Notamacropus eugenii: one gene and its partners. The protein of the gene in region 2 interacts with the protein of the main gene of each other region in a pairwise test. Links are inferred from orthologs where the notes say so. Each region holds a gene or a part of one and is shown on either strand. Other genes may lie near its edges.

The links.
Region 1: the proteins of RUNDC3A (region 2) and RAP2B interact in binary tests that used the Homo sapiens proteins (3 or more experiments, as listed by UniProt). The two-hybrid records come from large-scale screens. The link is inferred for Notamacropus eugenii from reciprocal best matches to the Homo sapiens genes RUNDC3A and RAP2B.
Region 3: the proteins of RUNDC3A (region 2) and CCNL2 interact in binary tests that used the Homo sapiens proteins (3 or more experiments, as listed by UniProt). The two-hybrid records come from large-scale screens. The link is inferred for Notamacropus eugenii from reciprocal best matches to the Homo sapiens genes RUNDC3A and CCNL2.
Region 4: the proteins of RUNDC3A (region 2) and RAP2A interact in binary tests that used the Homo sapiens proteins (3 or more experiments, as listed by UniProt). The link is inferred for Notamacropus eugenii from reciprocal best matches to the Homo sapiens genes RUNDC3A and RAP2A.

The regions. Positions count from the first base shown.
Region 1 is NC_092877.1:375,391,071-375,398,388, reverse strand, and holds RAP2B (ras-related protein Rap-2b), read left to right. Parts: upstream 1-4,307; 5' UTR 4,308-5,008; coding exon 5,009-5,560; 3' UTR 5,561-7,065; downstream 7,066-7,318. UniProt on the Homo sapiens protein: Small GTP-binding protein which cycles between a GDP-bound inactive and a GTP-bound active form. Involved in EGFR and CHRM3 signaling pathways through stimulation of PLCE1.
Region 2 is NC_092873.1:349,696,344-349,703,763, forward strand, and holds the start of RUNDC3A (RUN domain-containing protein 3A), read right to left. Parts: upstream 3,022-7,420; 5' UTR 2,939-3,021; coding exon 2,832-2,938; intron 1-2,831. UniProt on the Homo sapiens protein: May act as an effector of RAP2A in neuronal cells.
Region 3 is NC_092876.1:34,943,172-34,950,651, forward strand, and holds the start of CCNL2 (cyclin-L2), read right to left. Parts: upstream 3,001-7,480; 5' UTR 2,986-3,000; coding exon 2,641-2,985; intron 929-2,640; coding exon 854-928; intron 615-853; exon of another isoform or gene 537-614; coding exon 427-536; intron 1-426. UniProt on the Homo sapiens protein: Involved in pre-mRNA splicing. May induce cell death, possibly by acting on the transcription and RNA processing of apoptosis-related factors.
Region 4 is NC_092877.1:229,395,483-229,402,316, reverse strand, and holds the start of RAP2A (ras-related protein Rap-2a), read left to right. Parts: upstream 1-3,817; 5' UTR 3,818-3,937; coding exon 3,938-4,251; intron 4,252-6,834. UniProt on the Homo sapiens protein: Small GTP-binding protein which cycles between a GDP-bound inactive and a GTP-bound active form. In its active form interacts with and regulates several effectors including MAP4K4, MINK1 and TNIK.

The DNA of each region.
Region 1 (7,318 bases), on a different chromosome or scaffold from region 2:
AAATAACCGTAGTTTTGCCAGGTGCTGTAAACTTCCCCTTCCCCAACAATATGACACATCTTATAGTTTAGAGAAAGGAACCCCAAAATATGGTTCTCCACCTTCAAAATCTGTGAAGTGGTGGTTTCTGAAGCTTTATTTTTATTTTCTTACATCCTTGAAGTTTGGCTAAGCACCTTTTTGAATACAGCTATAGCTGATCATAGAGGCAGCATGGTGAAGGAGATATGAGTTTGAATCCTGCCTCAGATACTTATTAGGTAATGGTAGACAAATGAAATAATCACTTGGTACCTCAATACCCCCTCCCATTAAATGGAGGTGTGAGCATCTTTCTTACAGGGTTATTGTGAGAATCATATGTGAAAGCACTAGACAAGCCCTAAAGTGTTACGTGGTTATCAGCTATTATGAATTTATGAAAGAATCTATACCAATCATTTTTACCAACTGGAACACCTTGAACCTAAATGCTGGGTCCTAACCCTGGGTGCTCCCAAGAACTTGAGTAGGATGTAGATTTCCTGGAGGATTATATCAGGTAGGCAATCAATCCCAACTTAGTAAGAACCAGGAACAGTGCTCACTGCTGGACTGTCTCCAGAGGAGTCTGCTGGGAGAGAAAGTGAACTGGATTTGGAAACAACTTTGCTTTTTGCCAGTGGTAATACCTGGACATGGCACTGCTTGCCCTGACACATGTCTTTTTTCCTCATTTGTAATATGGGGGGGGAGGGGTGTACATAAGAGGATCTCTAAAGTTTATTTTGTTTTGAGTTTTAAGCCTATGATCCTAAGAGCTCCTTCTTTATCTGACTGGGGTTGTTGTCTGCCTGGTACCTCTTGGCACCTCTTGGTACCTCCCTGCTCCCTCATAGTATAAGCCCATAGGCTACTTCCAAGTCACGCTGCTTCATGGGATGCAAGGGACAGGGACAGTCCTAAGACGGTGCCTACTAGGTGGCATTAGAGAGCTCTTTATGAAAATTCTTCGAGATTTAAAAAGGACATAATTGTAAAATAACAAAGTCATAAAATACACATATGTATATTTAGATATATCATACACATATGCAAAAAGTATGCAATGTGGGAAAGCTTCCTGTTTTTTTTCTTCAATATTTCCTGGCTATAGAGGAAGGATTAATACCTGTTACCTCAGTTATAGCCAGAGAAGCCTTTAACTCTAGAGTCAAATGACCTTGGACTTCAACCACGGTTCATTAACTGTGTGACCTCGGGTAAGTCATTTATCTCCTTGTACCTCATTTCCTCATCTCTAAAATGAAGCTTTTGGACTAGATGAACTCCAAGGCCTTTTCCAGCTCTAAATTCAGCATCCGGTGACCTGTTTCAAAGAATATGACAAGTCAGCGTCTGGTTTAACCAAATGCAAAGCAGGGCCTTCCACAGGGTGTGGTGGGGGCCACACCCTCCTCACCTTTAGGCGAGTCCCGGAGAAGGCTGCAGCCTGCAGCCGTCCCAGACTCGGAGCTATCTGAATAGTTTCCTCCAAGAATTTCAGTTGCATTACAACAGCAACAAAGTTGCCTCTTGCTCTTGAAAAAGTTTGGGATTTGGGGCTTCGGCCGTCCTCGATCACTAGGCATCTTCCGTCTAATCCTGGGTGGAAGGGGGAAACACAATTCGGTCTGAGTCTCGTACTAAACCCAAAGCCTCCTGAAGGAGCGACCCCAGCGGACCCCTCTTTATGGGCCAGCCGAGCTCTTTCTCACGGCTCCCAAGCACCCCTGACCCATCCACTCCTCCCTCGCCCACCTCCTCGTCTGATCCTAAAATCTGAAGACAGGTCTTGACATCTCTCCTCCTCGAGAAATAAGGGAGGGTCGGGACAAGCCGAGGCAGCTCCCCGTTACCTCCCAAAGAGCATGAGGGAGCCAACAATCCCACCCCTAACCAGAGAGACTTGGAGGCAGGTCTGGGCACTTCTCCCTCTCCTCCCTAGGACTGGCTTCTTGGCCGAGCCTTTCCCTACTCCCCGCCCCCCTTTCCTTCGGGGGCAGGACTAGGTGTGGTGTTAGCTTCTCCCTTCCCAGGCCAGAGCGAGGATTCTCCGCTGGCACCCTCCCCCGAGCCCGCTGCAGCCGGGAGAAGGGATTGGCAAGCTGTGCCCACCCTAGCTCAGCCTAAAGAGATACGGACCCTGGGGTCTCTAGGCTCAGCACCTCTAGGTCTACTGCAGCCTGTTCGACTTTGTTCTCCCCAAACAGCTGCTTTGGGGGGGGTGGGCAGGGAGAAGCAGGGGGAGGGGAAGGGAAGGGACGGGAGACACCGCTGAGAAACAGCTGGGCCTCCGCCTCTTCACTTAGTCTCTATTGATAACCAATCACAAATGGGGGATACTTTTCAGCCAATGAGGCCCTGGAGCCTGACACAACCTCGGCGACAGCCAATGCCAGGCTACCTGGGGGCTGCGGGGAGAGGAGGATTGCACCCGTCGACCAATGGGCCCCGAGTTTGGGAGAGGAGGTAATTTGAGAGCCAGGGTGGGTGTGTCCAGTGAAACCTTCCTACTTCTAACTCCCGCCCCCCCACCAGCTGCCGCTCGTACTGAGCATGCTCAACTCTCTCCTATCTCCTGCCCGCCTCATAGAACAGTTCTGACGGGCTTAGCCAGATTGGCCGGGTTTTCCACACAGCCTAGAAAAGTCTGGAGGGAGGGACCCAGGATCCTGCAGGATCCTCGCACCCCAAGTTCTGCAGTTGGTCCCGGCTGGAAAGAGAAGGTCGGGGGCCCCGTGGGCGACCTCCAAGGACCAAGGAACCAGCATCAACCGCAGAGATCCCGCCTTGGCTGGCTGCGGTCCGGGTCCCTGGCTCGAACGCCTCCCCCTCCCCCCCCGCCAACCCCAGTGGTCCGGCAAGGGTCAGTGGCGTGGGCCGGCAGAGGTTGACGGGTTTGGGACCCAGAAGTAGATGTACTCTCTGTATGCGGCCAGACCACATCATGCTACTCTCCGCACGTCTCCCCATTTCCATCACTAAGCATTCTGCCTCCCCATTGCAAAATCAGAACACTCGGGGTTCCAAGCTACCTGGAACCTTAGGGTTGCAAGCACAGTTTGTTTAGCTTCCTTAGGGGAATGGGGGGTGGCGGTGAAGGAGGAGCAGAGCACTCTGGGGCTCGAAGTCTGGGGAGCACCTCCTGCGATCCAACAAACTGGCACCACTAAACTGGCAAAGAGCCTCTATCCCCGGTCGGGAATGATAAGTAAAGATAACGGCCCTACCTAAACTCTCAAGGATTTCTGGCCCAACCTCACTGTACAGTGGAAGATACAGAGGTCAAGAGAGGCAAACTGACTTGAGAGCTGTAGTAAGCATCTAAGAGAGAATTAAACACCGGTCCTCCATTCTTCGTCCTTGTGCCACGCAGTCCAGGTTCCTACCCCATTTTAGGGAGATGGAAGCCGAAGTACAGAAAGAAGAAAGAACTTAGGGTAGCAACTGGCCAAGCCGGGGTCAGAGCCCATGTCCTCCAAATTCCAGTTCAGCCTTCTTTCCAATGCTGAGCGCTTGGCCAGTTTTTAAGCTCTCCAAACTAGCCACGATTAAGGGTTAGTATAGCAATCAACAAAGATTTTTTAAACGACTCCTATGTGCCAGTTGGGGGCTGCAAGGTCAGAAAAATAAAACAAGTAACCGCTCTCAGGGAGCTAATATCCTAGGGAGAAGACAAGGTGTACTTTCAAAAAAGTCGCTACAGAAGAACACAGGTGATATTTGAGAAGGGAACACTGGTAGAAGCTGGGGCATCAAGATACATACAATATATGTGGAGTGCCCCCGCGTCAACACTCTGCTTGGGGAGCACAAAGCCAGAGAATGGCACCCGCGCCTCTGCCTGCTCCCAAAGGGGATCTCCTGGATTCAGCAACGAATGGTTTTCCCCGGAAGGCATCCCAGAATACACAAATGGGGAGGAGGGCACCCAGGAGCCCCGTTTCCCCCCAATAAAACCGCCTTCCAGTGCGTCCCCCCGTCACTTGTCAGTCATCCCTCCATCTGCCTGCCCGGTGTTGTGGGTATCTGGATGCAGGACCCCCTTCATGCCCTCTTGCTAGGAGGGCATACAAATAATAGATCTTATCCTGGAATTGTTTTTCCCAAGGCTGGTGCGCTCATCTCTGGCACCCAGTCCACCTCAACTCCAGCTCAGGGGACCCAGTCCCAACACGAGCCCACAGCTTTCTTGGCTCCGCCCCTGCCCCGGCCCTCTAGGAAAACCCGGAAAAGCGGAATCCTCCCCCCGGCAGCCTCGCCACGACTCAGCGCCCCCTCACTGGGCATGCTCACTAAGGCAGGGCAGGTTTGGGGCTGTAAGTAGGAAGCTGGAGCACTCCCAGGGCTGCTGGGGAGGGAGGTACGGACCGTGGGGCTGTTGGAGGAAGGAGGCAGGCACCACGGGGACTCATGCACCACGCGCTCGGGGCTGGGGCGCAATTAGCAGCCGCCTCCGCAGCCTGCACCCGTCCTTGCCTCTGCTGCCACCGCCGCCAGTGCCAGAGCCTCTGCCACCCCTCCTCCCAACGCTGCTGCCGCGGGTGAGGAGCAGCCCCAGCTACCGCCGCCGCCGCCACAACCGCAGCAGTAGCAGCAGCAGCCCCAGCCCCGGCCCCGGCCGTAGTCCGTGCCCGGCCGATCGCCCGCTCCTTCGCCAGCCCGGGCATTGTCCCTGCGCCTGCCGCCGCCGCCGGCCGCTTGCTACCAGTGCCCCAGCCGCCGCCGCCTGAATGCAGGGCACGGAGCCCGAGTGAAGCCTCGCCGGGGTGGGCGACCACCCCCCACCCGCAGCTCTTTGCTTTCTCTCTCCCTATTCTCTCCTCCCCCGCTGGGTACTAGGAGAGAGCACCCGGCAGGAGCCGAGCTAAGCTTTGCGCAGGTCCCACTCCTTCCCCCTCTGCCCCCACGCCCCCCGGGGGGCCCAGGCCGGAGGGAGGCCGAGAGCGGGAGAGACTCTCGGGGAGGGGGGGGGGGGTAAGAAGCCATGCGAGAGTACAAAGTAGTGGTGCTGGGCTCGGGCGGAGTGGGCAAGTCGGCCCTCACCGTGCAGTTCGTGACGGGCTCCTTCATCGAGAAGTACGACCCCACCATCGAGGACTTCTACCGCAAGGAGATCGAAGTGGACTCGTCGCCGTCGGTGCTGGAGATCCTGGACACGGCGGGCACGGAGCAGTTCGCGTCCATGCGGGATCTGTATATCAAAAACGGCCAGGGCTTTATCCTCGTCTACAGCCTGGTCAACCAGCAGAGTTTCCAGGATATCAAGCCTATGCGCGACCAGATCATCCGCGTCAAGAGGTACGAACGGGTGCCCATGATCCTGGTGGGCAACAAGGTGGACCTGGAGGGCGAGCGCGAGGTCTCGTTTGGGGAGGGCAAGGCCCTGGCCGAGGAATGGAGCTGCCCCTTCCTCGAGACGTCGGCCAAAAATAAAGCCTCGGTGGACGAGTTGTTCGCGGAGATTGTCCGCCAGATGAACTATGCGGCTCAGCCCAACGGGGACGACCAGTGCTGCTCCTCCTGCGTGATTCTCTGAAAACAAGGGGTGGGTGGGGGAGCTTCTTCCTTCGGGCTTGTGCTTTGGTTTGAATTTTTATTGGTTTCTTTTTTTTTTTTTTAAAGAAAAAAGCGAAAGCAAAATACAATACTTCTTTCTCAATGTGATTTTTTTAATTATTATTTTAAGATTGGAAACAACTTTGCAGCGTACAAGGTGTGTTCCAGGTGGGGGCTCATGGCTATTTCAACTGCAGCTGACGAGCCCCAGTGCTCAGTGTCATGGGGGTGGGGGGAGTTGTCTTGTATTTAACATCTGAACCTGGGTGGAAATGTGGCGCTTTCAAAGCATGTACATTCCTCTCGTGGATTTCTTTGATAGTTGCCTGTTTTCCCACTTAAAGCAGCCGTTAGAGAGCTGTATTGGCAACTTGACACCAGGCAAAAAAAAAAAAAGTTTTAATCTGGAGGGAAGGGATGGGAGCTGGAGGAGGATGGGAGAGAAAAAGGCTTGTCAACAACCACTTTCCAAATGGAAGATTTAAGTACCTAGACCGGGGAAGGAAGTGCAGGAAAAGCCTGTGAAGAAATGAAAGGAGAGGAAGAAACCCCGTTTCCAGGCATGTGTGTATGTGTGTGTGCTGGAAGTGAGGGTTAACTGCCTTCCCTGGCAGCCTGGAAGTGCAACCCTGGGACTGATTACAATTCTGAGGATTTCTATGCAAAGTTGGATTATTGTTACAGTGTATCCAATCTGAAATATTGCACAACTGAACTTGGACTGTTTACACTGGTGCCAATGCAGTGTGGAGTGCCAGAAAGTGTCTGCTGATATTTGTGGAAAAAAAAAAAATCTATTTTGTTTACCTACTGTATCAAATGGGAGTCTGGGGGAGAGCGGGAGTGTTTTTTTTTTTTTTATCAGCTGTGAAAAATTACAAATCTGCACATTTTTTTGGTGGGGTGCTTTGTTAATTTTGTTTTGTTTGGGTTTAGGGTTTCCTTTTGGTTGGCAATAACTGATTTTGATGACCAGATCTTTAAAGTACAGTACAAAGACTTCCTCAAATGTGATTCAGGGGCAACAGCGACCCTGTGTCTAGAGTGCCTTCAAAACTCAGCTGTTCCAGCCGTGCCAACCTGTGAAAGTTCCACAAAATCCCATTATCTGCTATGACTCCCCAAAGTACTTAACAGTTTCCTCTCAGTAATCATACCCAACAAGCCGAGACAAAATGGCCTGTTGTTCATGGAATTTCTTTTGATTTCTTTTGGAGCCTTTTACATGTAATTTCCATGTTTTGCAAGTACTCCTGGCTTCACGTAATTTAAATTTTCAGGTATTTAGTGCCCTTTTCCTTCCCTCCCTGGTTTTTTTTTTTTTACCTGTCTTAGGATATTCCTCCAGCCAAGAGCAAAGTTTTAATGTTGTGATGTACCAAGCAGATTCTAACTAATTGTAATTTTAATTCCAGACATGCGTTTAATGGTTGTCTCTTCATCTAAAGACTTTTAATACAAATACCATTTTTAAAAAAATGCAAACCCCAGAGGCCTGTTTGTGTTTTTGTTTGGTCTGGTTTCATCCATTGTATGAAGTCATACACTGTCAAGCCTGATATGGAAAGAGTCATGACTTAAGTCATAACTGAATCTGAAAGTGTTTTTATCCGGGTCTGAATGGATAGATGCAAGTACTTTGGTGGAGAAGTGGGTGGGGTTCATAGGATCATAAATTGGTTGGAATGTTGCCTTCAATTCTTAAGACTGGGAGCAAAACCAGGATGAGAAAGTTCTG
Region 2 (7,420 bases):
AAAATATTGTCGAAGTAAAACTTACAAGCCTTGGCAACTGATTGGATATAGTGGGTGGGGGCCGTGATGAAAAGGCAAGAATAAAGGATAACTCAAAAATGGGTAAGTGGAAAGAGTGGTGATGCCCTCAGCAGAAACTGGGAAGTTTGAAGGAGGATGGGTTTGGGGAGGGGGGAATAGAAATTGAGCTGTTTTCTATATGTTGAGTTTGAGACACCTATGAGACAATCAGCTGAAGAAGTCCAGGTAGCAATAAGGAACTGGTGTTCAAGAGGGAGATTAGCTCTGGATACCTAGATTTCTGAGTCATCTGTAGAAATGGTAATTGAACCCATGGGAGCCAATGAAATCACTGAGAGGTTTTACTGAGAGAAGAGAACTCAAATATAGCCTTGGGGGATGCCCACATTTAGTGGGAGCTATAGAATGATCCAGCAAAGAAAAAAAATAGTCAGACAAGTAGGAGGAGAACCAAGAGAGAAGAGCATCATGGAAGCCCAGGGAGAGGAGAGTAGTCAAGAGAAGGGGGTGGTGGACAGTGTCAAAGACTCCAGAGAGGCCAAGTATGGGATTTAGTAGTTGAGATTATAGGATCATAGATGTAGAACCAAAAGGGAGCTTAGTGGTCACCTAATGTGAGCTCTCCCCCCACCTTGATTTTACAGAGACCCAGAGAGGTTAAGTAACCTGTCCAAGGTCTCACAGGAGTGTTAGATCAAGGACAACCTTTGGGAGAGTGGTGGGAGCAGAAGACAGACTGGAAGGAAGCAAGGAAGAGGTGAGGACATAAAAGCTTGAATGCAGACAAGCCTTTCTAGGAGTTTGGCTTTGAAATGAAAAGACAGTCATTTGGAGGGATGCAAAAGAGGAGATGTGGATATGTCTGCAGGTGGCAAAGAGGCAGCTAGTGGATAGAGAAATGGAAGATGAGAGAGAGGGGATGATTGAGATCGTAAGTTTTTTCTGGAAGATAACGGAATCCAAAACAGGTTTTGGTCTTAGCAAGGAGAACGTCTACCTCTTCATTAGAGACTAGAGCTAAGTAAGAGAGAATGGGGGATCATGAAGACAGATTTTGAGATGTAGAGAAGGGGAAAAGATGAAGCTAAAAGTGGATAGTCACATGACAGGTAAGAGGAAAGGGAATGAGAAGGGAACCTAGGAGGTGGATGAGAAGACCATGGGGTATAGGGACAAGCACATTTAGAGAGGCAGAAAGTATTTGGACTGGGGGGACAGGGGCCTGTACTTTGGGGCTCATGAGTGAATTTGCATAAATGTCAAGGCCCCAGGACAATGTCAACAGAGACTGAAGCCCAGTTAGCTGGTCACCATAGATTCCAATTCTAACCAAGGCCTGTATTTAGAAAGATGTCAATAGTGTGTGTGGCAGGGGATAGCCTTGACTCCTGGACATGGCAGTAGATTTGCCTTAGGGGAGCCACATCTCTCCTCAGATATGCTTTCTTCTCCAGAATGGTATCTTGAGGCTTCTTGCAGGCATAAGTGTGATGGGAAAACAGATAAGAAGAGATCTAAGGAGGGAAACTGGGGTAGGATGTGAGGATGGAGAAGGTGGCTCACTTCTAAGCCTTTTCTGTTTCCCAAAGTGTGAAATTGGTGCTGGTGGCAGGGTTTATTTTGGGCATGGAGTCAGAAGTATTTGAGTCACCAAAATGCTAGGCCTGTGCAGGGGGCATTCCCTGGACACTAGGGCAAGAAGGGAAGCTCTGAGAGGAGGTAACATCCCTTCAGACCAGTAGCAGCACTTCCCCTATGACTCTTAGGTCTCTAGGTCTCCTCCAATTTAATCAGCCTCATTCCCCTCTCCATTCTCTCTCCCCCTCACCCACCTCCCACCTCCACACTTAGGCCTCCGACATTCAAAACCACAGTATCTTGGGAAGAAATACTTTTTTCAAAATTACCAACATGTTCTTTCCTCCTCCTAGCATGAAATGGATTGAGAGAGACCCTCATGATCTGAGAATGGGCATACTCTAACCTTCCTTCCACCCTAGGCTTGGGTCTCACAGGCAGACAGTTCTTACTGGTGCCCTTTGACATCCTTCAGGACTTGAAAAGATTTAGGTGCCCAGTTTCCCCTATCATTCAAAGCAATCAGCCCAGACTGTAGAATATGTGAACAAGGATGATGGGGCACTGTTCATATCCTGGGATGTTAGTGAGGAGAGTTTGCAAGTCCATGCTCCCACCACAGATGAGTCTGCTTGAGATGTCTAGGCCAGCAAGGAAAAGTGTCTCCCTCTTTCTCTGTTCTTGAAGTGAAAGGAAGTCATGTAGGAGGGGAAGGATTGTGCTGAGGGTGTGATAGGCACCATCCATCAGGCTGACACTCTTAGTATGTAACTGTTCCTTATACCCACCCTCCCCAGGGTGCCAACTCTTCCCATCCCTCCCCCTCCAGTTCTCTCCAGCTATAATGGCACTTTCTTGTCTTTACAGGAAGCTTTAACGCCAAATGAGGAATCTCCCTTTGTCCCCAAGCTGGGCACCGACCCTGGAAAACATCTAAAAGGGTGAGGGACAGGCCTCTTCCATTTCCTTCCTCACTTTGGCTGACCAGTAAGCAAGCTTGGTATTTACTTCAAGTATTTTGCTTTCGGTCGAATGCTTTATGTCCACAACTGCCCCGATCCTAGGAGCCCAGCCTGTACTCAGAATAAATCCCAGAATAGAACAGCCTTGCTCTCCCCCACCCCCCACCGCCAGTTCTCTCCACCCCAGCTCTTTCCATTTATCTTGTCCCTGCATGGTCTAATTTTCTCCCCTTAGGCCCTAGCAACCACCCTCCCCTCGCCTTTCCTCACCTGCAAACGGTGATCAGATTCCTCCGCTCCACGGCCACGTTTCGAGAAGACGCTTTCTTAGAGGACAGTCCCAGAGCCATGGTGGACTGCACGCAGCTGGATTCCATCCAGTTGTGTGTTGCCTCCGCTGTCCCCCGCCTCCCTGCTTCCCAGGCCCTCCGCCCCTACCTTTACCCCGTTCCCTGGCAGCCCTACCGGCTCAGGGCTGGGCTCTCAGCCGGCCCCAATCCCCCTTCCCCTCCCTAGCCATCCCCCTGATTCCACACTGAGAGCCCCCGGCACCCCACCCCCTCTCTCCCCAAGTGACTGAAGCTCCGCAGCAAAACAAGGTCCGGGGAGGGAGCTCTCCGTGGTGCTGAGCCTGCCTGCGCCCTGTTCTCCCCCTCCCCACCCCCAACCCTCCCGGTCCCCGCTCCACCTCTTTCCTCCCTCGATGACGTAAGGGCCCCCAGGACCCGCCCTCCGACAGGCTAGGGTCCAATCCGAGGAGGGGTGCAGGGTTTGGGTGTTAGGGAAGAAGGGAGGCCCAGGGCCGAGCATGGAGAGGGCCCTTGAAAAGACTGGAAAGCTACGTAGCCAATTCACCCGGCCCGGGAAAGGGGGAGTGGGGGGGGGGGGGGGCGAAGAGGGGGATGGGGAGAGGGCAGAAGAGGGGAGGAGCCTAATGGCCACAACCCACATCCTAACCCGGGGACGATCTGTGATCTCCAGTCTCTGAGTTGGTATCTCTAGCTCCTCTAATCTCTACCACCTGACCTTGAGCATCTCTCGGCCTCTGAACCTTGACCAGGAGACCTGATACCCTTTCGTATATTACATCTTTCTATCTGATCTCTCCCTACCTGTCTGTCCCAAGGAAACGCAGAAGCCGGATCTGTTTGTTGGTCTCTGGATGAAGGATAGCACTAGATCCAAGTCCCTGCAGTTTGCAGGAGGAAGCCAGAGAAACACGGGGGTGGGGGAGGTCATGGTCATTCTTGAGCTAGTTACGTGTTGGGATATCTGCAGAGGGTGCCAGCCTAGATACCAGCTTCTCTGACTCCCCCACCCACCCACACCCCCAGCATCCCCAATGGAAGGCAGGGCCAACTGTCCAGATGGGGACTGGCATTAACCCTTCCACTGCCAGAGTGTGCCTCCCCGTGCCATCTGCCAGCTCTGAGTAAGGCCATAAACTGGGCACAGAGCCACTTGGGCCCTTCCTGTCACATGGGCCCCAGCCAGCTGATCATAGTCTCCCTCACCCAGGGATGTGAGGAAATTAAAGCACAAACCTGACTTCCTCCCCAACTCTCCGCCTCCCCACACTCCTTCCATGACACCACAACCTTCTCTCTAAACAGCTTTCACATTACCCTTGTTCCCATCTACCCACCACCTTCCTGCCTTCTCGCTCACCCAGAAACTTCATTCTCTTCCCCCATTTTTTCCCCTAGCTCACTGATTGCCTGGTACTTCTGTCCTCCAAGAAACTTTGATTGAGGGAGAAGAGAAGTGTCTCTCTGTTCCACCTCAATGTTCTACTCCAATTTGTGCACTGCCCCCAACCCTGCTCCTTTTTATGATTCTATGATTATGGCCAGAAAGAATTTTTGTTCTTAGATTTTGTTCTTTACTGACTCCAGGTTTCAAACCCAAGATCCTGCCTGGCCTCCCAATCTCCTTACCTTTCTTAACTCCTAACTCACCCTAGGAAGTACTTCTGCTTTTAGACTTACAGCTGGGGTCTGTCATCATATTCTTCAAGAGCAAATATACTCATCTCCCATTCTAGTTCTAATAGTACCTGACGTATATGACCTAATTCTCTCTTGCTGCAAAGTAAGTCTGTTTCCTCTTTCTTTATCCCCTTTGGCAATAGTGGATACCAGAAAGAATGAATATTCCTTCAGTCTGCTTTCCCACTTTTCTACACATCCAAAATCTTAGAATCCCAAGTTGGGAAAGTTGTGAGAGAGAAAAGCAAGAGCAGAGTAGGTTGAACTCAGATCAATCCACTGATAAGGTAGATTCAGAATTGAAATAAAACAAGGCATTTGTAGTTGAACAATTAACAAAAGGACATTCACTTTGGTCAAAGTAGAAGGCTATGTGACAAGGATAGGTACTGAGGCCACCTCAGGTTATTCAGCTGAGAGAAATTCCCTTGCTTAAGTTGCCCTTTATGATCCACCAGCCAGGCATCCAAGAGGATTCTGGGAGCTACCTCTGCCTATTTTGTACCATGTCCTGGCTCCCTCAGGCCATGGTATCAACAGTCTGGGTTGAACCAATCACAAATCTCAAGGATGATCTCAATATATTTTAAGGGAAAAAATGGGTTCATCTATTGCTTGATAGTAGAGTCCTTAGGGTCTTCTTGTGGAACTTCTACCAATTGAATGACTTTAGGACTATTATTGGTCAACCCAAATGCCTGATATTCAAAAGTATAAAATATAGTCAGGAAAGGAAAAAGAGAAAAAGAAAAACTAAGACATATATATGGCAAAACCCAAAACAAAGAGACCAAAGTTTCAGAAAGGGTCAAATCTTAAGTCTAAATATTTAGGTCCATAAGGTAGGTGATGCCAAATTTCTGCAGTTCACAGTGGGTCTCAACGTAAAAAAAGTGACCATTACTAGAAACAGCACCAGGGACATTAAGGCTACAGCATAGATGATGACACTTCCTGCCTGGTCACTATGAAGGAGCAGAGAGAATTGCCCCAGACTGCCACCTGCTTAGTTTCACTGGCTCACCAGCCAGGGCCTTCCCCTTCCAGGAAACCCCATGGAATCAAGGAGGGGGGAAGTAAAGGGAGGGAGAGCGCACATCTCTTTGTTCAACGAGAGGCTTCTGAGAGAATGCCCTCCCTTCATCTGTGGGGACTGGTTAGATGTTTCCATCACTCCTTGTTGCCACAAAGCAAACATCTTCCCAACAATGCCACCTTTTGGTCCTCCCTGGGGAGGAATTGTTCAATGATCCCTGCTTGTTGTATTGGAAGTCTTGTGGAGAGGCCCATCAATTGTACATTATACGAATCAATGGATTACAATGGGCCTGCTTTTTGTCACTGCACAAGCTGGTGTTCCCTCTTCTGCCCCTGGTCTGCCACTGGAAGCTATTTCCTCAACTGTCTCCTGCCATTGAGGTCCATATCCCTACTCACTGTCTCCCTACCTCCAACCCCCATCTCCCCTGCTATTACCACTAAGGCCTGCATCCCTGCCTCTGTCAAGGTCAATTGTTACCCTATGTGTCAGGATAGAACAACTGCCATTGTTAGAGTGTTTCTGAAGACCTGAGCACCATGTGTGGTCACTATTGGAACCTGATTCTGTCCTCTTATACAGATGGTTGCAGCAGTGTGGCTGCCCCCTTGTGCTTTGCAGGAGTGTTGTGGGCACTGCTTAGACTCTGCTCTCCAAAAGGACCTACATGTCCAAAAATATTTCTAGTAGCTCTTTTTGTGGGGGCAAAGATTTGGAAATTGAGGCAATGCTCGTCAATGGGGGAATGGCCGAAAATGCTGTGGTATATAATTGTGATGGCATACTATTGTTTTATAAGAAATGATGAGCAGGATGGTTTCAGAAAAATCTGGGAAGATTTATATGAACTGATCCAGAGTGAAGTGAGCAGAAGAAGGAGAAAGCTATACACAGTAACAGCAATATTGTACAATGATCAACCATGAATAATTTAGCTTTTCTCAGCAATATAATGATCCATTATATTGGCAACACAGGCAATTCCAAAGAACTCATAATGAAAAATCCTATCCATCTCCAGAGAAAGAACTGATGGAATGTGAATACAGACCACAGCATACTATCTTTCTTTCCCTTTTTCTTTCTTTCTTTTTTTTTTTTTGGTTCAAGTTTTCTTCCATAAAATGACTAATATAGAAATATGTTTTACTTATTTGCACATATATAACTTATATCAGATTGCTTATTGTCTCAGGGAGGGGAGAAGAAAGAGGGACAGAATTTGGAACTCAAAATTTAAAAAAAATGTTTAAAATTGCTTTTACATGTAATTGAAGAAAAAATAAAAATTAATTTTTAAAAAAGACTGCTGTCCTGTGCTTGGCAGAAGTACTATGGGTGCAGCTAAGACTCTGCCCTCTTGTGCTGGGTCCAAGTGGGCCAGGGTGTCATTGCATTTAGCTGTTCCACCTGTGTGTATGAAGTCAGGACCTACCACAATGGATGGATCTGGCAACTCCAAAAGATTTTGGACAATCATGTCAGGGCTCAGGATTCCCTTCTTGTCAAGGATCATCCTCTCCAATGCAAGAAATTCCTCTTTTGGCTAGTCAGTAACCACTGAGGGGTCCAAGATTTGCTGATGACTTGAACTCACAAGGCTGCCACAAAGTCTAGAGATGACCAGCTCAGGGGTGCCCACTTATCCTCAGGATATAAAAACAACAAAAACAACCAAAAACCCCACCCAACAATGACAAAACCTGAGGCTGGAGAATGTGCCTGGGATCTGAGCTTGGAGTGGGAGAGAGAGAAAGAGAGAGACAGAGACAGAGACAGAGAGATAGAGACAGAGAGACAGAGACACAGAGAGAGATTGAAATTAAGAGTTA
Region 3 (7,480 bases), on a different chromosome or scaffold from region 2:
AAATCAATAAATGAAATTATTACATTCTGAAAAGGGCTTTCATCCACCTAGAGATTACAAAGTACTTAGCTAAGAACATTAGGCTACTTTTCAACTAGTCAAAAGGTAGAGTTCACTGAAAGCCAAAGGAGATGATAAAGGAAAAGAAAATCAACAGATATAGATTAGTTGAAACAATAACAACCCAGACTCATTAATTGTTGCTCAGCAGAGTCAAAGTATCTTATCTGGGTTCAAATCCCCACACTATCACATATGACCAGTGTGACCTTGTGCAAACCCCTTAATCTCTGGGGGGCCTACATTTCTGCATGAGTAAAAAATAAACAGATTGGGACAGAAGTACCCAGATGACAACTCAAAGTCCCTTATGATCCTAATAAAACTAGGATTCTTTTGTATACTCAAAAAAATACCAATACTTACTTTTTCTCCCTCAAATGCCGAAGTCGATGAAACACATTAATTACGTCCCTTATCCGTCTTGGAGCTTCTTCTATTTTGGAGGCCAGATGAACACAGGCCATTGACACATGCTGAAATATAAGTATTGCAACATACTGATGTTTTGCTCAAATCTGGAACTGTGATCGCCTCCATCAGCTTAAGGAGGGCTAGTAAGAGAAAATGGCAGGTAAATACAAGTAACAGAACAACCTGTAAGATAAGCAGCGCTTTACAACCTACATGGCTTATCAAACATAATGAAGCAAAAATACTTAATCTACTGAGGATACCTTGTTTTCGTAATTAGGAGAAAGAGTAAATATGTTGTTAATTAAGCTTTACATATTAAAATCTTAGGCATTTAGCTTGAAACGGAAATGAAGAAAAGGGAAAAAGTTCTACTTACTTCCATGGAATGCTTCACAAAGGATTTGGTATAAAAGAACCGCTGAAATAACACCTGCCCTGTAGCCATGGCCACCTAGAAAGTGAAAAGAATTCAGTATTATGTTTTTAAAAGTACTGTTCAGGATGTGCCAGAATCATCTCAATTTGAGAGAAAAAAAAGATATTGGGTCTCACTGTATTCAAGATGTTAGAAAACAAAACAAAGCTTTTCCAGCCCATGGTTAATGATCCACCCATACTTCCCCACATCAGAAAACAACAGTTGCCTTAAAACCAAGAAAAAGAGTCCACCTCAAAACATGTAAACAAAGAAACAATCCTCCACTCCACCATGGATGTCCTTCTTAAGCATTAAATAAGACTTGGCTGGAGATGCCTCAGGTGCTTTCCCACACACTAAATCATATTTTCAAGGGCCAAAGGGTAAGAGGTCCTGCCAACTAAATCCAGCAACACAGGAGCTGGGGTGAGGAAAGGAGATCAACACGTTGGGAGGGGGGAGGTGGCAAAGGAGGAAGACACTTGAGCAACCCTTCTGTCCCCTTGCACAATACAGGGGAAAACCCATTATTATTCAAGAGTAGGGACTGTTTTTAGTTTTGCTTTCCTATCTCAGGCAGGGCAGGCCAGGAAGTCATCTACACAGGCAACACCCCTCTTTCTCCTGGTTAAAGAGCCCTCCCTCTACCAATACTTCCCAGAATCTCAACCTAACCACAATAAGATGGTTTGTTTGTTGTGATTGCTTCCAAAATGAAAGATTTTTCTCCAGGTGTTAAAAGATAAATTCAGCCAGTAGAATACAAAACTCTTTAGTCTACCTCCAGGGCCTCCCCTAAGAAGCTATCACATTTGTATCGCATTTATTAAAAAGCAGTCTCTCTCCTAAGAAGTAACTACAACCTGCCCACTTGGCCCCCCCTTCACCCAGTTCCCCCCATTAGCTGTCTTTTTTATTTGGAGTGGGCTTGAAGGGAGCCCTCCTGAAAAAATCCTCCCTCCTTTTTCAACTCTTTTTCTTAGAGTCTGGGGTCAAGTTTCTCAGTGCCGTCATTAAGGGGTCCCCTCTATTGTGGGGGGAAGGGAGCTGTTTCTGGTGTTCTAGGTTCAGAATTCTAGAGCCTTCAGGTCATCGAGAGAGAACAAGCTCTGAAATGTTACATGATAACAGAATCACAGGAACATGAATTTCTGAGCTGGAAGGGACCTCTTACGACGATATGGAAACCGAGTTGTTATTTTTACACAAGGGGAAACTGAGGCAGAGAATTTTTTTTTTTTTCTTTTTCTTTTTTGAAGATGATACAGGTTCATATTAGGAAGCCTCCAGAGGCCGAACCATTCGTTTTACACAGTAGAAAACTGAGTTTCCCAAAGAGTTAGGCCACTCAAGTCCACAATCTGGGGCCAAATATACATTTCACAAATGGGAAACTGAGGTTCGGGTCCGCTGTACGCCCTCTCCCCGGCGTAAAGAAGCCACCGCCCCATTTGGGCTTTCCCGAAGAACCCCCCCCCCCAGCCCCCCCACGGCGCTCGGGGGAGGAGCGGCCTCCCTCGGCCCCCACGCCCGGCTTTGTCCCAGGCGGCTCCGGGAACAAAGGACCAGGCCGGGCCGCCTCCCTCCCCTCCCCCACGCCCCTCCCCCCCGGGCCGTGCTCGCGCCTGCGCACTAGCGGCCGGGCGCGGCGGCCGTTACCTCAGGCTCCCGGCCTTCCCCCCTTCCCCTCCGGCTCCCTCGGCCTCCCCTCCCCCCAGCCCCGGCCGGCCGGGCCCCGTACGGACCTGCGGCAGGCGCAGCAAGATGCCGGCCGCCTGGATGAGCTCGCAGCCCACGACGCGCAGGCCGGTCTCGGTGTCGGGGTCCAGGCCGCTCGACATGGACGGCGTGAACCGCAGCTTGTCGTCGGGCAGCAGGCAGTTCTCCAGCGTGATGAGCACACCCGAGTACAGCCGGTCCCCGATCAGCACGCCCGGCCCCGAGCCGCCCGAGCCCGCCGCCGCCGCTCCGCCGGCCCCGCCGCCCGAACCCGAGCCCGAGCCGGCCGCCGACGCAGCCCCGCCGGCCCCCGAGCCTGCCGCGGCCGCCGCCACAGCCGGGGCTCCCGCAGCTGCCGCCGCCGCCGCCATCTTGAATCTTCTTCGAGCTTCTGGCCCCCGCCCGGCGGCGCCTCCCTGCGCCCGCCCGCCTCCGAGGACTCCATTGGCCGCCGCTGCTCGGCCCCCGCCGCCGCTGCGAGCCGCGATTGGCTGCGGCGCGCGTCACTCGGGCCTCTCTCTGTGACTCACGGGCTGAGAATTCGGCGCGGGGGGAAGGGGGTACGCTACCCAGCGCGCATTGCGGCGCCTCCGCCTACCGCTCTCCCTCCTCCCTCTCCCGTCTCCCAGAATGCCCCACGACGGCAGCTTGTCTGTCACGGTCCGGGCGCTCCATCCTCGTGGCGCACCGAGCTGGGGAACGCTTGGAGCCGAGGCCTTTGTCGGGGTGAGATCGGAGACGTGCCCGGTCACCCTGCCTGGAGGGCCGGATGTCCAAGTGCTGCCCCGAAGCCAGCCTCGGCCCCCAGGGCTGGTCACACCCTCCCAGCCTCTGTGCCCTCTTCCGCACATTGGGCATAAAAATAGCACGTGCCTCAGCGGTGCTAGGAAAGTCGGCAGCCTTGCCCTCTCCCCAGCACTGTGCCAGGGCTGGTGGCACAAAGAATGGCCGTGCCCCCACCCCTCAGGGAGTTCAGACTAATAAAAGCAGCCACGTACAGGCAGAACCTCCCCCCAAGGACCCGGGAGGGAGGCGCCACCAGGATCCCCGTGACAGCTGAGTATACCCAGGTAGAAGGCAGGTGAAAGTCGCTCAGGCTCACATAGCTGGTAGGTGATGAGGCAAAATTCGAACTCAGATCTCCCTGACTCCAGGTCCAAGGCTTCCCCTACAAGAAAGCGCCTGACTCAGCAGATGCAGCCTGTCGGGCACTGAGGGCAGCGCCCCACAGCGAAGGGCCGGTTAGATCGGGAGTTCTCAACTCTACTAAGGTCCGTTTGGGTAACTATTTCAATATAATTGGCTTCCTTTGTAACCTATGTGTTTTATTTTATACGTATTTAAAAACACGATGCTGCGAAGCAGGGATCCGCAGACATCACCAGACCACCAAAAGGGTCCAGGACGAACTAAAGTTAAGCCGGTGCTACATACACAGCCTTGGACCTCTTCTAACTCGTCCCTTTCAGTCACCCAGGCTCAAAAATGCCTGGATTCTTCCTGAGCTCTGTCCCCTCATCCCAGCCCCACAGTTGGCCAGTCTCCCGTGGATCCCACTCTGGACATTGTCCCCTCCCCTCTCCCGTCTGTCCTCCCCACAGCTGCCTTAAAGCCCAGGTCTGACCCTGTCAATCCTCTGTGCCTGAAATTCCAGTGAGATGATAGATGTAAATAGGAGCTCTTGGTATCTACAGTGAAAAGTCCTGGAAGGGGTAGCTCCATGCACTGCCCAACGTTAAGTGGAATTGCCAAAGATGGGAAAACTCATTGCTACAGGGGAGGTGAGTAAGTGGGCTGCAGGGCTGCGTGAGGTGCTCCCTCCGCTGTGGAAACATTAGGAAATTAACAAGTCCCTAGTTGTTTATATCCTTCCTCTCATTGTTACAACTAGAAATTACAAGGATATAGACAAAATTAATCAACACTGCACTTTAAAAAATATTGTAATGCCTTTTACTTTTGTGTCACAATCCTATCGAAAGGACCTCATCTCCTCCAAATTGCACAATCCTTCGTAGGGAAGGGGATATGCATTTAGTTATCTAGAGCTGTGTTAAGTGTTTTACAAATGTTATCTCATTCGATCTTCACAATAACCCTATAAGATAGGTGATGTTTATTATCCCCATTTTATAAATGAGGAAACTGAAGTTATGTGATTTGCTCAGTCACACAGCTAGTAAGTATCGGAGGCTGGTTATGAAAACATTGAAGCAAAAATAACTGTTCTCTTGGTTCTGTTTATGAGATCCATAGAGGCTTTGGGGGAAGCATCCAGTCAGAGAAAGGCCAAAGGATCAGAGGGTCATTTCTGATGGTGGAGCAAGCTTCCAGGATGAATATACATTAACTTAAAGACGCACCTTTACTGTTTTACATGACTACATATGTATAACTTATACCAAGATGCTTGCCTTGTCAATGAGGGGGTGGGGAGGGAGGAAGGGAGAGAATTTGGAACTCAAACTTTTAAAAATGAATGTTAAAAATTTTTTACATGTAACCAGAAAATTTTTAATTTTTTTAAAAAAGCATGTTTACATACACCTTTACATTTGAGCCTCACAACTACTGTGTGTGTGTGTGTGTGTAGGAGAAGGGGGGGGGGGTTGGCAGTATTATTTTATAGATGGGGAAACTGAGACTTATCAAGGATAAAGAAAGTCCAGTACATCCTAGAGACAAGTCTGGAAAGAGTGTGTGGACCAGAGAAATCTTAATATTTCTCAAGAAACAGAAAAGGTTTGGAATCTGCATCCATACCTGTAAGAAATAAGAAATGGCTAGAATCTGGACAGATATGAGACTTAAATAGGAGATCATGGGCAGACAGAGCTAGAAGGGTCACACATGCCTTCCTACAGTTCCATCAAGGTCAGCAAAGCTTCAGTCACTGATGACGGAGGTCAATGGTACCAATTGATCATTTAGAGTGAACACTCGCATTGTTTTGTTTTCCCTTGACAAAGGGCAAACCACCAGTATGAGATTGCAGAGACGCAGACAGAAACTTCTAGGTTGCTTTCATTGTCTTTGTGAGTTGTCCTTTTTTTGGGGGAGGGAAGTTTTGGGGAGGGAGCTCTAACAGTGAATTTATTCTAAATGAATTTATTCTAAATGAAATTTATCAATTAGAAACCTAAGTGCCTAGCACACAGTAAGCACCATCTTAACTTTTGTTTGTCCTGGACCCTTTTGGTGGTCTGATGTTTGCAGATCCCTTCTTCTCAGAATCGTGCTTTTAAATAAAAATAAAATAAAACATGGAAGTTACAAAGGAATAATAAATGCTCGTTGTCTGGACTGCACGCAGTAAACACTCAATACTTGCTGAATCGAATACATGAAGTTTTCAAATACAGGAGCTTTCATAGGACCCTAGACTGACCTCCACAGTTGGATCTTGGAGGCCGTCTAAGGTTTAAACCCCTCATTTTACATATGAGGAAACCAAGGCTTAGATAGAGGAAGTGATTTGCCTAAGGTAAGCTACCTATTTGGAAAATTATTATGAACTATATTTTTAGCAACAGAAAACCCAATGTCCATTATAAGGATGGTGAGGTGACTGAGATGCTTTCTGTCTCCTCCAAGCCTCACAATATCCCTGACATGGCTAACAAGTGATAATTCATCATCTTCCTCAGTTTACAGATAAGGAAACTGAAACCCAGAGGTTGTGACTTTTCCCTGATCATAGAGTAAGGGTCAGGATTCGAACCCAGAGTTCTGCTGAGTCCAGAGATCTCTTGGAGTCCATTCCACTTGAGAGGAAATGATTCTAGAGAATACAATAATACATCTGTAAACTCCAACTTATTTAGAATTTAAGGGAAAAAAATAGTCTATCAAATACTGCAGTGACTCAAAAAGGGAAATACTCTGACGACGGAGTTCTGTGCTATTTCTTGTGTGCATACAGTGAATGTCATAGAGTAAGCACCAAATATATGTGAATTGAATAATTGCATTCCTGAATTTATTTCAGCTCTTTTTCATTTTTCATTTTTATAATACTGTCATAGGCAGGTGCCCTTACAGGTGCTTGCAATTTGGATTCCTCTAAGATGGGCCTTGGGAGACAACTTCATGATTTGTGCTTTTTAAGCACCCCCAGAATGTACTGCCAGTAACAGGCCAGATCTTCAGGAGGTGCCCCAGCCAACCCGGTTTTAATCCTCTTGAAACTAGCCAGGCTGATGTGGTGTGTCAGCTAAGAGACACATACATGAAAGCCCAACCCTCAGCCTGTGGGACCTTTCAGGTTAGGGAGGATCAGAAAGAGTGAGGGTTCCAACCGACATATGCTCAAGAACCCAAGACCACAAAGATGCATGAAGTCTGCCAGACTATAGCATGTTGTTCTAGGACAAATAGCACAGAAAACACCCCCTCAAAAAACAACAGATTGTGTAAGGTGCACTCCTAACCCCAGAGTTCCCTTTATTTTGGGCTCAGACCTCTCCCAACAGCCCAGATCAAGTTCTCCTCAAAACCCAAGCTTATGTGTGTTCTTCTATTTGACCCTGATACATCCCAATCAATGTGCTGAGGTCCCTTTCCAACTGACTGTCTGTGGACAAGCTCCTTGGTGACGTTCTGAGGGCATCAGTGTGGAGAAATGGCACTGAATTTGCAATCAGAGGACTAGGGATTCAAATTCTGGCTATTCACCCAATATACGATATTGGGCAAATCACTTCTGTCTGTGGGCCTTGGTTTCCCCATTTGTAAAATGAGTGGATTGATCAAAATGACCCCGGAGCTCAAATTCCAACTTGTAGGGAGGTGTCTCCTGCTCCGCCCCCAGGACCTTCCTTTCCATTACTTCCATCTGTCTCTCTCTTTTCGGTGCCTGGTTTTTAC
Region 4 (6,834 bases), on a different chromosome or scaffold from region 2:
CCATTCTGGAGAGCAATTTGGAACTATGCCCAAAGGGCTACAAAAATGTGCATACCCTTTGACCCAGCAATATCGCTACTAGGACTATATCCCCAAGAGATCATAAAAATGGGAAAGGGTCCCACATGTACAAAAATATTTATAGCAGCACTCTATGTAGTTGCCAAAAACTGGAAGTCAAGGGGATGTCCATCAATTGGGGAATGGCTGAATAAATTATGGTATATGAATGTAATGGAGTACTATTGTGCCATAAGAAATGATGAACAAGAAGACTTCAGAGAGGCCTGGAAGGACTTATATGACCTGATGCTGAGTGAAAGGAGCAGAACCAGGAGAACTTTATGCACAGCAACGACCACAGTGTGTGAGAGTTTTTTCTGGTAGACTTAGATTTTTGTAATAACACAAGAACTTCTTACAAAAAAAAAAAAAATCCCAATGGTGGTTCTCAAGGCAAAATGCCTTCCACACTCAGAGAGAGAAATATGGAAGTCATTCACATAATGTAACAGATCATGTTTGTGTATGTGTATGTGTTTGTGTATCATGTTCTGATTTGTTATACGATTTCTTTCATTTATCTTAGTCTGACTACATAGCATGACTGTAGTGAAAATATACTCAATAGGAAAGTATATGTAGAATCTATACAGAATTGTATGCAGTCGTGGGGAGGGAGTGGGGGGTAGGTGGGGGGGATAAAATCACAATTGTATGGCAGTGATTGTTAAACATAAAAAAATTAAAAAAAAAAAAAGAAACTCCTTTTAAAATTTGCAATATAAGTAGATCTCTAACTACCAGCCCCATCATTTACCCTCACCTATTGCAATGTGGAAGGCTATATATAGGATTTGCCTTTCTCTTATATTCACTTTTTTTAATTTTTTAAAAAATTGAGTGACTGATCTTCAGCAAGTCAGAACCTTCAAAAAGAAGGTTCTTGGGGAAAAGAGAGTTGAATTAAGTGAAAACAGAAAGCTTAAGGAGCTTCTAAATAAATACATTAGCTTTACATTATGAATCAATACTGGTACAAAGTTCCATAAAATTAGGTATTTATATTTAATAGTTCCTTCAATCAGAACACCCTTGCCCAAAGTAGCTCAGTAATGAGCGTCTAAATTTCCAGAATTGCCAATCATTTTTGGATATGTATATATTAAGTTGGGGTGAGAGTTCTCTTAAAGTAAGTCATAAATTTGTGGGTTATGTGGTTATGGTTGCAGCCTATAGCATATACCCCCTAGTTCTCTGGTATTTCAAAGATATTTTTGCCTCAAACTAGCTGCGTCCTTCAGCAAATCTCCTGATCTTTGTGGATCTTACAGACCTCATCTATTGAATAAAGGATTTAGTCTTCAAGCCTTTTGAGAATTACCAAGAAAGGATTCTTTTGCAGGTATGGCTTGAGTTCCCATTAGGCGTTCTGTGAGAAGTGATACCTTTTGTATCTGCCTCCAGAATCAAATAGCACGGCTTAGAACCTTTGCTGTGAAATTTACTACCTATGACCTTGGGCATTTAACTGGGCTCCTCTGCCCTAAATTGTCACATCTGTAAAATGCGGGAGTTAGACTAGATCCTTTCTATGGTTCCATCCAAATCTAAATTCTATAAATGTGCAGCAGATTGTGGAATGATTTGCAATGGCTTTTATTTTTAAAGGGAAACACGTCTTTTCACACCATTTTCTCTAACCTCTTATCACCATGATGACTCTAGGAGGGGGACTATACAGAAATAGAATAGAAAGAAAGTAACATTTAATGATTACTTTGTAACAGTGCAATCTGTGATTTCCCTGGTTGGTATGGCTACTTCCTCCATCAATCAGTCCACAAACATTTATTAAGCATGTGCTATGATCCAGGCACAGGACAAGGCGATACCTAAAGGTCTTACTAAATGGTGCTCCAGAACTGCTGTGGCCAACAAATTCCTCACAATACAGCTAACTTAATGCTGATTCCCCGCCCTGTGCTTCTTATAACGGACCTCAAAAAACAAGCAATACATAACTGTGCCGGTACTCAAAGCCTTTCCGTGGGACAGGATTTTGACCCAGCCTTCAAGGTCAGCTTCCTAAGGGGAGGAGGCGATAGAAGAATTTAGTGGTAGATTTAATAGGGGAGTAAAATTATGTAACTTGTTTTCCCAAGAAATGGTAAGCGGTAGTTCACGAAACAAATTCAAGAAGTGTTCATCAATGCATACCAGAACTGCACCAAGCTAGGGATGCTTGAAACAGCCTGGTGAAAGGAGACTGAACTTGGGGATCAGAAGAACTGGGTGTGAATCCTGACTCGGGCGCTGCCCGGCTCTCAGACTGCACGATGTGTTCGGTCACACGGGAGCCCTCCGTAATGGACTGCAGGAGCACAAAGGAGGGAGGGTGAGCCCCGCTGAGGAAGCCTCGGGCTTTTCTCTCCTACTCCCTGCCCGCCAGCAGGGCTCTCACCTTGGGGAAAGGACCGCTTTCTGCGATCTCTGGCCTCAACAGCTAACAATACATCGTTTACGCCCAGTCCCATCCAGGGAAGGCTTTTTCGCAGAGTTCCATGAATCTTGCTCCTTCTGCCAGAATAGGTCACAGTGACTTTTCCTTCCCTGACCACCGCCCCAAAGCCCACGCCCGACCACAGCATCAGGGGAACACAACTGCTGGGCTGCCGATGGAAGCTCTTCTCGGATTGGTCGAGGACACACCTCCGTCACACCCCAGCTCCATCCAGGACTGGCTAGTCCCAAGCTTCCAGTCAGCCTCTAGCGCTGAAGGGTTGACTGTCTCCGGGAGATGGTGTCGTCACGTGGTACTCGACAGCCCTCCGGTTGGTAGCAAGCGGCACCACGTGACGCCGAGACTTGCGCTGATTGGCTGGTGCGGATTCAGGTTTCGACGAGATGCCGTTCAAACCGGCTGTTGCTAAGAGGCATGCTCAGTTTAGCTAGGAGTACCTGGATAATCCGATTCTCCGGGCTTTAGCGACTCCCGACCCTAGGGGCGGGGGAAAAACAGGGGGTGAAGCCCTTGATAAGCATCGCGGGCGATTAAGAGGACGGGATGTGGCGGGAGCAAAGTGGCCAAGCCTGGGGGCGGGCGTGACCTTTGGCTTTCCCCTCTGCAGCAGCTGGCGGAGGCGCCTCTTCCCCAGCTGTGGGACGCGAGTGATGGGCACGCGCCGCCGCAGTATCCCATGTTTAAAAACAAGCATACAGACACGGCTGGAGAGCTCCCGAGGGGGAGGGAAGTGGGGTTCCCGCTGCCCGGGAGGCGCTTCCCCCCCATCCCGCTCGTTTTCTAGGACAAACACTAAAACCTGGCCGAGCAGACGCCACACGTTTCCACCGGTCCCGGCTTACGTTGCGGGTGCGGGACTGCGGAGCGGGGCCGAGGAGGGTTGGCTGGTGCTCGGGTCGGAAGCTCCGGCGCTCCACAGGCTGCCCGGAGCGGGCGCCCCGGGGTTGCCTAGGTGACGGAGGAAGGAGGGCGGAGCTAGCGCCCGTCCGGGCGCCGGCCCCGCCCCGCCCCGCCCCGCCCCGCCCCCGGCAGCACTGCAGCTCGGGAGCTCGCGCGCCGCCCGCCGCCGGGCCGCCGGGGAGGAAGCGGCAGAGGAAGGAGGGCGGGGAGCGGCGACGGCGGCGGCACCGGCCCTGCGGCCCGGACACGGCTCCTGCTTCCGCCCCTCGCTTCGCCCCCGGCGGCGTCCGCGGGGCCGCCCGTCCGCCGAGCGCGGTCCATGCCCAGGGCCGCCGCTAGCGCCGCTGCTGCTGCCGCTGCCGCCGCCCAGGGGGCTGCCGCGGCCGCGAGGCGGTGGTGGGGGCGGCGGCAGCGGCGGCGGCAGCAGCAGCCGCCCGAGGAGCGTTCGGGGGCCCCGGCTCGGCGGGCGTAAGTCTATGTCGGCGGCCGAGGCGGCGGCGGCGGCGGGGGACGATGCGCGAGTACAAAGTGGTGGTGCTGGGCTCGGGCGGGGTGGGCAAGTCCGCCCTCACCGTGCAGTTTGTGACCGGCACCTTCATCGAGAAATACGACCCCACCATCGAGGACTTCTACCGCAAGGAGATTGAGGTGGACTCGTCCCCGTCCGTGCTGGAGATCCTGGACACGGCGGGCACCGAGCAGTTCGCCTCCATGCGGGACCTGTACATCAAGAACGGCCAGGGCTTCATCCTGGTCTACAGCCTGGTCAACCAGCAGAGCTTCCAGGACATCAAGCCCATGCGGGACCAGATCATCCGAGTCAAGCGGTAAGGTGCGGGGAGCCGGGCGGTGAAGGGGGAGGGGGGTCCTGCGGTCCGAGTGCGGGTCGGAAATGGGGAGGGGAGGGGCGGCCCCCCGCTGAGAGAGGAGCCCGGGGAGGGGTGGCCCCCGCTGAGAGAGGAGCCCGGGGAGGGGTGGCCCCCGCTGAGAGAGGAGCCCGGGGAGGGGTGGCCGCGGGCGCTCGCCGAGAACCGAGTGTGTGTGTCTGTGTGCGTGTCTGTGTGCGGTGTGTCTGTCTGTGTCTGTGTCTGTCTGCGTGCGGTGCGCGCGCGCCCGCTTGTCGTGGGCTGGGGGAGGCTTTCAAGTTTGCCTGGCGCTTTGTTTCGCCCACTACGATTGTCGCCAGCCCTGTGAGCGATGGAGCTGGCACGGAGTCCGAAAGGGAGACCCAAGTTGAAAGACTTTCCGAAGGGAAGAGGGGAGGGTGCGGGGGAAGAAGAGTTGCGTTTTGTTTTTTGTTTTCAGGCTCGGGATTTGGGTAAAGAATAGGCAACTCCTTTGGCCGTGTTTCACGGCAGGATACCGCAGGCTTGTTAGGGGAAAGGGCAGAGCCTTGAAGCTGCTTTCCCTCTGGCCATTTCGCTTTTATAGTGTTCCGGATGAATAGCGAATTCTGGACCGGGTGAGGGTACGGTGGCTTTGTGCAGGCCCCGCGGGTGTACCAGTATACAGCCTGAATTAGCGTGTGGGCACGTAAAAAAGGTGAGAGAACCCGAAGAGATGGAGGGGACTGCTTCTATTAAACTTACAAACAAGATTTTTCTTTCCCGAATCCTTAGCAAAAAAGCAAATTCATTTTTCTAAGACTTGCAAGGGAAGTTTCAGTACCAGTTTGTTTTCCTGAAATGGGGATTATCTCCTTTCATTTTGCTTTGATCTTTGTAGAGTAGGTGCTTAATAAATGGCTAGTTGGCTGACTTTTATCCCCGATACTCTTCTCGGTGCCTAGCATATAGTAGGTGCTTAATAAATGCTTGGTGAATTGATTTGAATTCCTTTTTATTTCTTCTTTATTGTGGGCCATTTCAGGCAGTTTGAAAAACCTCTGCTGTAAGATATTCTAACATACTTAATGATCTCAATGGCAAACTTGCTCATTAAACAAAAGTTTGTGTCGTTACAATATCTGCCACTTTATTTTTGGCATCTGCAGTCAATTCATTTCTTCTGATTCTTATCAGTCATTAAGATTCTTGAATCTTAAGATTTGCTGATAAATGTGTTGATGTACAATCTGTAACTTGGTTATAACTTGGTAGCTTGGTCACTAATTTTCCTTTTTATTTACCGTGCCAACTAGTTCAACCTAATATCCCCCCAGCCCCCTATAGCCCGTATGGATATACTCAGAGACACCATCTATTTTAAAGAAAGTAATAAATCTGTCTATTTTATCCTCTGTTGAGTTCTGTAACTACTTTGAATGGGCCAAAGCCAAGTGTCCTCTATTCAGTGAGTGCTCAGAGATGTCAAATGAAAATGAGATTATCTTTAATGCAATTTGTGAGAGTACTAAAGTAAAAGTAGTTTTTTTTTTCAGGAACATACTTAGTATACTCAGTGGCTGGATTAAAATTTTTAAATTTCTTAAAGAATAACAAACTAAAAACCAAATTGTCTTTTCAGTTTCATTCATAACTGCAAGATTTGATTCTGATTGTTTTTTCCCCCTTTCTTCCTCTTCCTTATTCTTTATCTTTCAGATGATCACTTCGCTTCTTGTGGAGGCTATATCATTAATTTCTGTGGTATACTTTAGTGTTAGTTTGTATAATCTGTAAGGATTCACATTGTTAAAACACAGGACAATGGCTTAAACTAGTTTCGAGAACAAGGTTTTCTGATGAAATTGCCTGTATTTATGTAGTGACTTGATATTCCCAAGTCATTCATTCAATGAACTTTTCTTATTATCCCCCAATCTAGTAGCTAACTGCCTAGTATACAGGAGCATTGGTTGAACCTGACCACAGATAATTTACCTTGTAGACCTTGCAGAGGGGAAATGACATATACACAAATAACTCATGAAAAGTAATAAATAATAATGCAAGAGGGGTACACACATTGGCTTGTGAAAGCAGAGCCTGGGTAAGGTCTTTATTAAGGGGTAGAATCAGGACGGGATTTAAGGGGGAAATGGCCTGTAAGAATTCAGTAAGGTAGGCCAAGGCTGTAGGGGAAGGAAATTCTAGCCTTGGGAAAAACTGAGCAAAGTCATGGAAGTGGGAAAGTGCAAAAACGGGTATATTTGAGTGGAGAACAGGAAATTCAAAGTTGGCAGAAACAAAATATATGAAGAAGAGTAAGTTGTATAAAATGAATCTGGGAAGGTAGAATGATAATAGACCATGGAAGAAGAACCAAGGAGTTTCACTTTACTGTTTAGGTAACAGAAGCCATTAAAGGTCTTTGAGCGAAAAAAGGCCTCTGATCAGCAGGCCTAGATGTCACAAAGTCAACACATTAGGCCTTCAACTTAATCAAAAAAAGCCCTTAGACCTTCACTCACAGCTTATTTACTTCTATTTTTAAGTTGTAATGTTAGTAAGTTTTCATTATCTGGTATA